Arabidopsis thaliana: one gene and its partner. The protein of the gene in region 1 interacts with the protein of each later gene in a pairwise test. Each region holds a gene or a part of one and is shown in the gene's direction. Other genes may lie near its edges.

The links. Proteins that work in one complex are often made in the same cells at the same time.
Region 2: the proteins of AT1G68810 (region 1) and SDG20 interact in a two-hybrid assay, tested with the Arabidopsis thaliana proteins (one large-scale study listed by BioGRID).

The regions. Positions count from the first base shown.
Region 1 is NC_003070.9:25,859,324-25,864,044, forward strand, and holds AT1G68810 (basic helix-loop-helix (bHLH) DNA-binding superfamily protein), read left to right. Parts: upstream 1-1,770; 5' UTR 1,771-1,965; coding exon 1,966-2,580; intron 2,581-3,067; coding exon 3,068-3,559; 3' UTR 3,560-4,211; downstream 4,212-4,721.
Region 2 is NC_003074.8:938,181-942,657, forward strand, and holds SDG20 (SET domain protein 20), read left to right. Parts: upstream 1-1,719; 5' UTR 1,720-1,795; coding exon 1,796-2,459; exon of another isoform or gene 2,460-2,930; coding exon 2,931-3,331; 3' UTR 3,332-3,914; downstream 3,915-4,477. Other genes in the region: BPM4 (BTB-POZ and MATH domain 4), read right to left, coding at 1-49, 1,173-1,627. UniProt on the Arabidopsis thaliana protein: Histone methyltransferase.

The DNA.
Region 1 (4,721 bases):
CATCGTAAGAATAATTTATATAGGAAGACCTAGAAGTTGTAAAATGTGTATGAATAAATTCCAAATGAAGACCTAGAGCTTGTAAAATATAAATTTTAAATCTAGATATATATATATATATAAAATCCATAATATAAACCTTTTGTAAATTATGTTATAAGTTATAACAATTGTAACTTTAAGACGAGTTTACTATTAGCACTTGACACTAGTATTTTGCAAGCATTTAATTTTATGTTAAATTTTGTTTATTTATAGGTGACAATATGGGTAATCCAGTCCAATTTGATCCATAATGTTTATGGGGTGAATGTTAACTAGGTGAACGAAGAACGTAAGCCATTTAGTAAATAGGTTGACCATATAAAATGTTCTAGTTTCTGGTATGAGGGGAGGTAAATGCCTATTAATCTATCTAATTTGATGGGTCGAAAATCAAAATGATAAAATAGTTCTACCCATAAAATATTTTTGTAATAATTTATCACATATTTTCATAATTAATAGTTATTACAATCGGTATCATATGTGATACGTTCATTGTCTTCACATCATCATCGCATTATCATTTTTATCATCATCATAACATAACGATCATCATTTCATACCATCTCCATTATCATCATAATTTTGAAATCACCTTTATGGCACAAAATTTTGGAATCGTGCTTTTGCAAAACAAAACAAAAATATAGTTTTCTCTGCAAAAATCATGTTTTTACGAAACATTGAATATAGCGGAAAATTGTGGATTTGTGTTTTTAGCAATAATTATTATGAAATACTTTTAGCTGGAAGTTGCGAAATTACATAATTCACGATTCATTGAAATTCAGTTTTTGACCAAAAAAAACAAATTGTGAAATTATATGATCATGATGATGATAATGGGGTATGATGGTGATGATATGATAATATTATGATATCATGAATATAATAAGAAACGAATATCATTTACTTTTTTTTTTAGTTTTTAACAAAATGTGGGTAAATATTGGTGAATCATAAATCTTTTACAATCTAACTCATTTAGCCCATTAATTCCTTATGGTCAGAACTCATTTGCCTTATCAATATAATAGGGTCATAATATTTAGTTATGAGGATTTGAATTCGGATGATGACATAAGGAAACATTAGTATCAATTATTAGATTACATGAATTTGGTTAATATTTGTTAATTAGTATCATGGTTTTATATCAACGAGAAAACAATTGACCAAAAAAAAAAGATAACCAAATCACTATCCTACACAATGTTATGTGCTCTCCCATAACTAGTTAGTGGTCTAATAGAAGACAAATAATCAATTTTTTGTTGATACCTACAAATTTGTAACGTATATTATGTGGTCTCTAATACCTAGTTTAGTGCTATAGCGTAGATTTTATTTATATAAATCAATTAAATCTGTATAGTGCCGACTCATATATTTTCGATGCTCTGAAACAAATTTAAAAGATATGTATTATGTGTCATTTTGTATATATAAATTCTTTTTGTGTCTTTTTATATATACAAATTATTTTTCTGTGTATGGATATTTGGCGATCGCATTGCTTGTCCATATACTTATTAGAAATAGAAATAGAAATAGACCGTGAAGTACTAAATGCGTAAATTAAAAGATAGATAATCTAAAGAATCTTAAACCCATTACCTTTTTTTTTTTACCTTTTTAATAATTCCACCACAACACAAAACACAAGTTGCAAACTCCACATATCCTGCAAACCATTGGTAACAAACAAACGCATGAGTTTCCTATATATGTCTGCGTCTACAACATTTGAAAGCAAACTTTTGTCTCTTTTTAACTCTCTTAACTTTCGTTTCTTCTCCTACCTTCTTTTACCAACCTTTCCTTTCTCTTACACACATATATATATACATATATAGAGAGAGAGAAGAGGACAAAGAGTTGAAAGATGAAGACTCTCATGTCTTCATAGAAACAAGTGATATGTGCGCTAAGAAAGAAGAAGAAGAAGAAGAAGAAGAAGACAGTTCTGAAGCCATGAACAACATACAAAATTACCAAAATGACCTCTTCTTTCACCAACTCATCTCTCATCATCACCATCATCATCATGATCCTTCTCAATCTGAAACTTTGGGAGCATCCGGTAACGTTGGATCTGGTTTCACTATCTTCTCTCAAGATTCCGTCTCTCCAATATGGTCTCTACCTCCACCTACCTCGATCCAACCACCATTTGATCAGTTTCCTCCTCCTTCTTCTTCTCCAGCATCTTTCTACGGAAGTTTCTTCAACAGAAGTCGAGCTCATCATCAGGGATTACAGTTTGGGTACGAGGGTTTTGGTGGAGCCACGTCAGCAGCACATCATCATCATGAACAACTTCGGATCTTGTCGGAAGCTTTAGGTCCGGTAGTACAAGCCGGGTCCGGTCCTTTTGGGTTACAAGCTGAGTTAGGGAAGATGACAGCACAAGAGATCATGGACGCTAAAGCTTTGGCTGCTTCAAAGAGTCATAGTGAAGCTGAGAGAAGAAGAAGAGAGAGAATCAATAATCATCTCGCTAAGCTCCGTAGCATATTACCCAACACCACCAAAGTAAGTCCAAAATTTTTATAACATAAATTTTCATACATAAGTAAAAACATTCATCAATCACACACCGTTTAAGTTTTTTGTAAATAAAAAATAATACTAAAACAATGTAGAGTTTAAGTGGAAAAACATAGTAGCTGCGACATGAAAGTTTATGTCACATTTTGTCTCTTTTTATTTTTTTACATTTAGGTTTTATAAAAGGAGAAGTAAGTTATTCAAAGGTTTTCTGTTTTGATCAATGATCTTGTGGGTATTTGTTAAAGTCCCGAGAGAGAATCAGTCAGAGACTGTAGTATAAATAAAAAAGCAAGGAATATGGAACGTCTATGTCGTCGTTTGGTTAATTGATGTAATAAAGAGAAACAACCGGCGCTGCTTAAAAAGCATAAAAAGTCTTATTGCCGGACCAAATCATAACTTCTACGACCACATAATTTTCTCCTCGAAACTATACAAATATGTTTTTTCTTCGTTTTTTTTAATGCAGACGGATAAAGCGTCGTTACTAGCTGAAGTGATCCAACATGTGAAAGAGTTGAAGAGAGAGACTTCAGTGATCTCAGAGACAAATCTTGTCCCAACGGAAAGCGATGAGTTAACGGTAGCTTTCACGGAGGAGGAAGAAACCGGAGATGGCAGATTTGTAATTAAAGCGTCGCTTTGCTGTGAAGACAGGTCGGATCTCTTGCCTGACATGATTAAAACATTGAAAGCTATGCGTCTCAAAACGCTCAAGGCGGAGATAACCACCGTTGGGGGACGAGTCAAGAACGTTTTGTTTGTTACCGGAGAAGAGAGCTCCGGTGAGGAAGTGGAGGAAGAGTACTGTATAGGGACGATTGAGGAAGCTTTGAAAGCGGTGATGGAGAAGAGCAATGTAGAGGAATCATCTTCTTCTGGAAATGCTAAGAGACAGAGAATGAGTAGTCACAACACTATCACTATCGTCGAACAACAACAACAATATAATCAGAGGTAATCAATTTTTTACTTAAATCGCTTTTTTTTTCTTACTTTCGGTGTATCTACTACGTGTGTTGTTTGCTGGTTATGGAAATGAATGTTGTACGTCACGTTATACTATAGATATATGTGTGTTTGTGTGTATGTATAACGGAAGTATTTGTATCCGTTGTGGTCTTGGACTTTTGGTTTGGTTCTAAGATACTTATTTTTAAAAACTTGTATCGTTGAGTTGGTTTTCTAGATATGCTTAATGGGAGTATGTGACGAAAAAAAAGTATGATTTCTGTAAGGCAATGCATGGGTTTGGAAAATTCGTTTTCTCTTGTCATGTGGGAGGATTTGAATTTAATTTTGGCTTATTTTTGCAATTGTGTGAATGAGACCAAAAAGAGACAATGAAGAAGAACAGGAAACGTACCAAAGATGATGTGTATCATTAATTGATTTAGTCGGGTTCTGTCCGGGGGAAAAACAAAAAGAGACAAATTTGGGATTCTGAGCTTCGTACGTTGATGCTTCTCTGACTCTTTTGCCTTGTGTATTTATGTGTTCTGTAGAATCTTTTTCGTGTAACGATTTACATATATTCAAATATTTTGCTTTATATAAATTTGCATCATGGACTGGTATGAGGTAAACATCGGGACCAAGACTAAGATATAAAGGACGTAGCCAATTAGTTTTTTAGGTTGGTCCATGAAATTTAACATGGTATTCTAACCAGAGTTTTATTTTGTAAGTGTGTTATGTTTTATGTGTTGCACATGAGCACGTCCTTGATCGAAGTATTTAAAATTTGTTATTAAAGAAATGTGTAAATTTATAGGGATGATAAGTGATTGTGATTGAGATTGGTCATGACGAGGAACATACGTAATTGACGTCGTATTTGTGTTAAGCTTGCATCATGAAGTGAAGTACGTCGACGTTATTAATAATTATGATCATTTAGTACTACTTACGTACTATTGTACCCTAACTGCCATTTCATTTGTCTTTTAACATTTTTACCTAAGTGACGGTCATGTGAATTGTCTAGTAGACTAGTACTGACTCCTCTTTTGGCTTTCTCTATAGACAACCTTGAATTTAATTTTAATTTATGTTAATTACGTCTTCATTATCAAACCAAAAACTTAGAAGATTTCTAAGTTTTGTGGAGACTTGCAATTAGG
Region 2 (4,477 bases), on another chromosome or scaffold:
AAAATCAGATGTTTCCAGCATAAGTCTTCGAAAAAAGCGCTTGTAGCCCCTGTAAGCATATAAAATTGAATAAGGATCCGTTGAGCGAAACAGGGAAGTACAAAACTCTAAGAGGGAATTATTCCTCTGCATTAATAAGCAATGAGATCTTTCTAATAGAGAGACAAATCAAAGCCAAAGGCATCACCTTCAAGAAGAAGAAACCAGAGACAATGGTTGATTAATTCATACAAGCAGACTTAACAACAGATGTTTAAAAAAGCAGGAAAACCAAATGTACGAATATTGAGAGCAAAAGACAATACTCTGTTGCTTAACTCATACAAGAAGTTTCAAACCTAACATGAACAGTTTCATAAAAGCAAGGTTTGTGCTGCTATATGCAGGTAAACAGTAAGCAATGTTCCTACTTCAGAATTAGCCTACCATATTGAAAGAATTGGTGCCTATATAGTAAAACATCACAATGACAGGTCTTTGAAATCATGCCAACATGTGAAAACACAATACTTTTCAAGAAAATCCTAAATATCATCAGTCCAAACCCTCTCTCGTTCCCAATCAAGTTTCCTTAACTACAGAACCAACGCTACATGCTGGTGAAGCAGCAGGAACCAAATTCTGTTTATGAAAAGTTCAGGTAAACTAGTTACAGAATGTCCAAAACAGGTAATAGAACCTTCATATTCTAGAAACTTGCTTCTTCTACTCAAAGCCCTCTCTCTTTCCATACGTCACAGACTCACAGTTTCAAGCAGACCACAAAAATAAAGCCAAGCAGCCTCCAGCATAAAAAATAAAGAACATTGTTTATCGCTCTCACCACCCATCTTTCAATTTCATATACAGGTCACACAACAAAAAAGAAACAAACAGATTGAGAAATCCACAGCTAATGTATCTTTATTTCCTCTGAATTTCTCAATCTCTTTTATATTTTTTAATGTTGTGAGCTCAATCTCATTTTGCCTTCAACAATCTACACTCTTGAGTCTTGACCACTAATAACATCCGTAACCTCATATAAACCCCAACAAAGGAGCAAAATTTGTTCTAAAAGTAATGAGCTTTCACTAGAAATCAGAGACCCTAAGCCAATTCTTCACCAAACCCTAGCAAAATGGCTAAGAGAAAAATAAAAAAATTGAAAAGAAGAAATCGAAGAAACGAACCACATGCTGCCACGATACTTGAGAGTATAAGGACCGCTCTCAAGAGCACGATCGAAGTGGCTATGAACCTTATGCTTCCCTTTACCACTCTGATCAAGCAAAGAAAGCTCAAAAAGAGCCCTAACATCGGTACCATCGCTAGCTAAAGCAATGAAAACGGAGACATAAGCCGAATTATCCTCAGGATTCTTGCCATCAGGATAGAAATAGATAGCCCATTGATAACCCCCGACGGTGAAAGTATCGCTGGCGATGTGTTTTCCGATCCCGATTCCTTTAGCCAAAGAATAGCCTTTGATTGTGAAGCTGTGTGATCCGTTTATGGTCTGTGTCACCGAGAGAGAAGTCGTCGTCGGTGGCGATGGCATTTCGAAATTTCGTCGTTGTTGCTCGCTCTTTTGCAATGGATTTTGTCTTTGTAAGTTTTTTTCCTCTGTGAAAATGACAGATTTCATTACACAGACCAAAGCGACGGTAGTAAATCTATAGTTATGATTAACACAAAAAAACTCGCCATTTTTCTTTAAAAAATTCTTACTGAAGTGAAATTAAAATAGAATTTAAGGATATAAATAGAATTAAACGCAACGACGTCGTTTGTATATCGCTGGCTGAGAAAAAATATGCAGCGACTGCGAGAGTCACCACCACCGAAGACGCGTTGTCTTGGAGAAGCTTCCGACATTATTCCGGCCGCCGATCGATTTCTCCGATGTGCGAATTTGATTCTCCCATGGCTAAACCCTCGAGAACTCGCCGTTGTTGCTCAAACCTGCAAAACCTTATCCCTAATCTCGAAATCTCTAACCATTCACCGATCTCTCGACGCTGCACGATCCTTGGAAAACATCTCAATCCCGTTTCACAACTCCATCGATTCTCAACGATACGCGTACTTCATCTACACACCTTTTCAGATCCCCGCTTCATCTCCTCCTCCGCCGCGACAATGGTGGGGAGCTGCTGCTAATGAATGTGGATCGGAGTCTAGACCTTGTTTTGACTCAGTGAGTGAAAGCGGACGTTTTGGGGTGAGTTTAGTGGACGAGTCAGGATGCGAATGCGAGAGGTGTGAGGAAGGATACTGCAAGTGTTTAGCTTTCGCGGGGATGGAAGAGATAGCTAACGAATGTGGGTCGGGTTGTGGATGCGGGTCCGATTGTTCGAACCGGGTTACGCAGAAGGGGGTTTCGGTTAGTTTGAAGATTGTGAGAGATGAGAAGAAAGGTTGGTGCTTGTACGCTGACCAGCTTATCAAGCAAGGCCAATTCATCTGTGAATATGCAGGTTACAATTACATTTCGATTTCATATTACATGATTAGAGGAATATTAGCATTAGGTAACGTTAACCAACTTTTGGTTTCCTAATAGTATAGTGATTCGTTTTATTGCAGTAGGTCACTAATTTTGGAAGATTGATAATTGGAACTTGAAAATCAAGCTTAAGATTACATGATTTGAGGAATATTAGCATTAGTTATTAGCCTTTTACACTTGGACTGCATATGATTTAGCTCGATGCGTTGAGATGAGATTCTAGCATGGTATTAAGAGTGATCTCCATCAGTGAAAGATCTGAGCTTTCGAAATGTTCTTGTTTCAATCGTTTAGAGGTAGTATCACAATGCTGGATTTGGAGATTAGAGATAATGACAAATCTTTCTTCTTTCTTGAATGTGTTTTTTCTTTGTGATCTGCCTTAATGACTTGGTTTATGCAAAAGTCATAAACTTGATTTTGTCGTCTCTTCTTATAGGTGAGCTATTGACAACAGATGAAGCACGTAGACGTCAAAACATTTACGACAAACTCAGATCAACACAATCCTTCGCTTCAGCTCTTTTGGTCGTACGCGAACACCTCCCTTCAGGACAAGCTTGTTTAAGGATAAACATCGACGCCACAAGAATTGGGAACGTTGCTAGATTCATCAACCATTCTTGTGACGGTGGAAATCTCTCCACTGTTCTGTTGAGAAGCTCAGGAGCGTTGCTTCCTCGGCTCTGTTTCTTTGCAGCAAAGGACATAATCGCAGAGGAGGAGTTAAGTTTCAGTTATGGAGACGTAAGTGTGGCCGGAGAGAACAGAGACGACAAGCTAAACTGCTCTTGTGGTAGTTCCTGCTGTTTGGGAACGTTGCCTTGTGAGAATACCTGAATTCATCATCATCTTGTCTCGCTATACTAATGTCCAACACTCTTATTATTTGAAAAATTCGAGTTCTATGTTTGTAGCAAACACAACCAAGCACCGTCATTGTCATTCGGAAGTTACACTTTCTTATTAATAGCGGCTCTACTGATTTGGAGAAGGAATGGGGGAAATTTAGAAGTAATTCACGAAAATGAACCCACCAAAATGAAGTCATGAAATACTAAGAATTTCGTGAAATAAAACTAATTTTGAAAATGGCAAAGTACGGAAAAAGAAAAGGGAGGATTAATGTTGTGAAGAAAAGGAGCACGACAGACATGAAGGTTGGTTAGCTTACTAAAGAACTCCACACGAAACGGTCAACACGATTCTCGTGCCTCTCCTCTCTCAGACACTCTCACATATATACTTACTTCTCTATCCATACGAAATTACGTACGAATACGATACTTAGATTGTGGTAGCTAGCTATACTATACAATTTGTTATTAATCATTGTATCGTACATTTGTTTTACCTTTTGAGACAATTAACTTTCGTCTGATTTATCTTCCTTTTTTCCTTAAGATAAAGAACATTCATGTGAATTTCGTTATATACCACATGCATGCATCACTGGTTGTCTGGTTGATTTAAGTTATGTAAGCAAAAACATACAATTTTCTCTCTATATATACCACATGCATGCATGTACTGATTACATATTGATATTGGCATCAATCTGCTCCGCCCAATATTCTTGGGTACTCAGGGAAAACAAAAACAGATAATTTAAATTGCATCACATATTCTAGACTTAAACATCAAATCGATGTATGATTGGTTTTTCTAAAAGGAAATTAATCGTGTATACTTTTTTTCTTTTCTTTTCTTATCAACTAAATCGTGTACTTCATTTCATATTATTGTCAATGTCCTGAAGTTTATTTCTCTATACTTCGCAATTGTATATCTCTCATTTCAACAACTTTCGAAAGTTCCCCCCTTTGGAAACGTTTATAAGTGTTCGTCTTGTATAAGCAAAAGGACTCTAGATTTTTATGATTATAAATCTCAAATGTATATATCGCTAATTAATGGTTTCAGACGCAATGTACGCATTTCCATAAGTTTGTTATACTAGTTCTAACCATAACTAATATATTTACA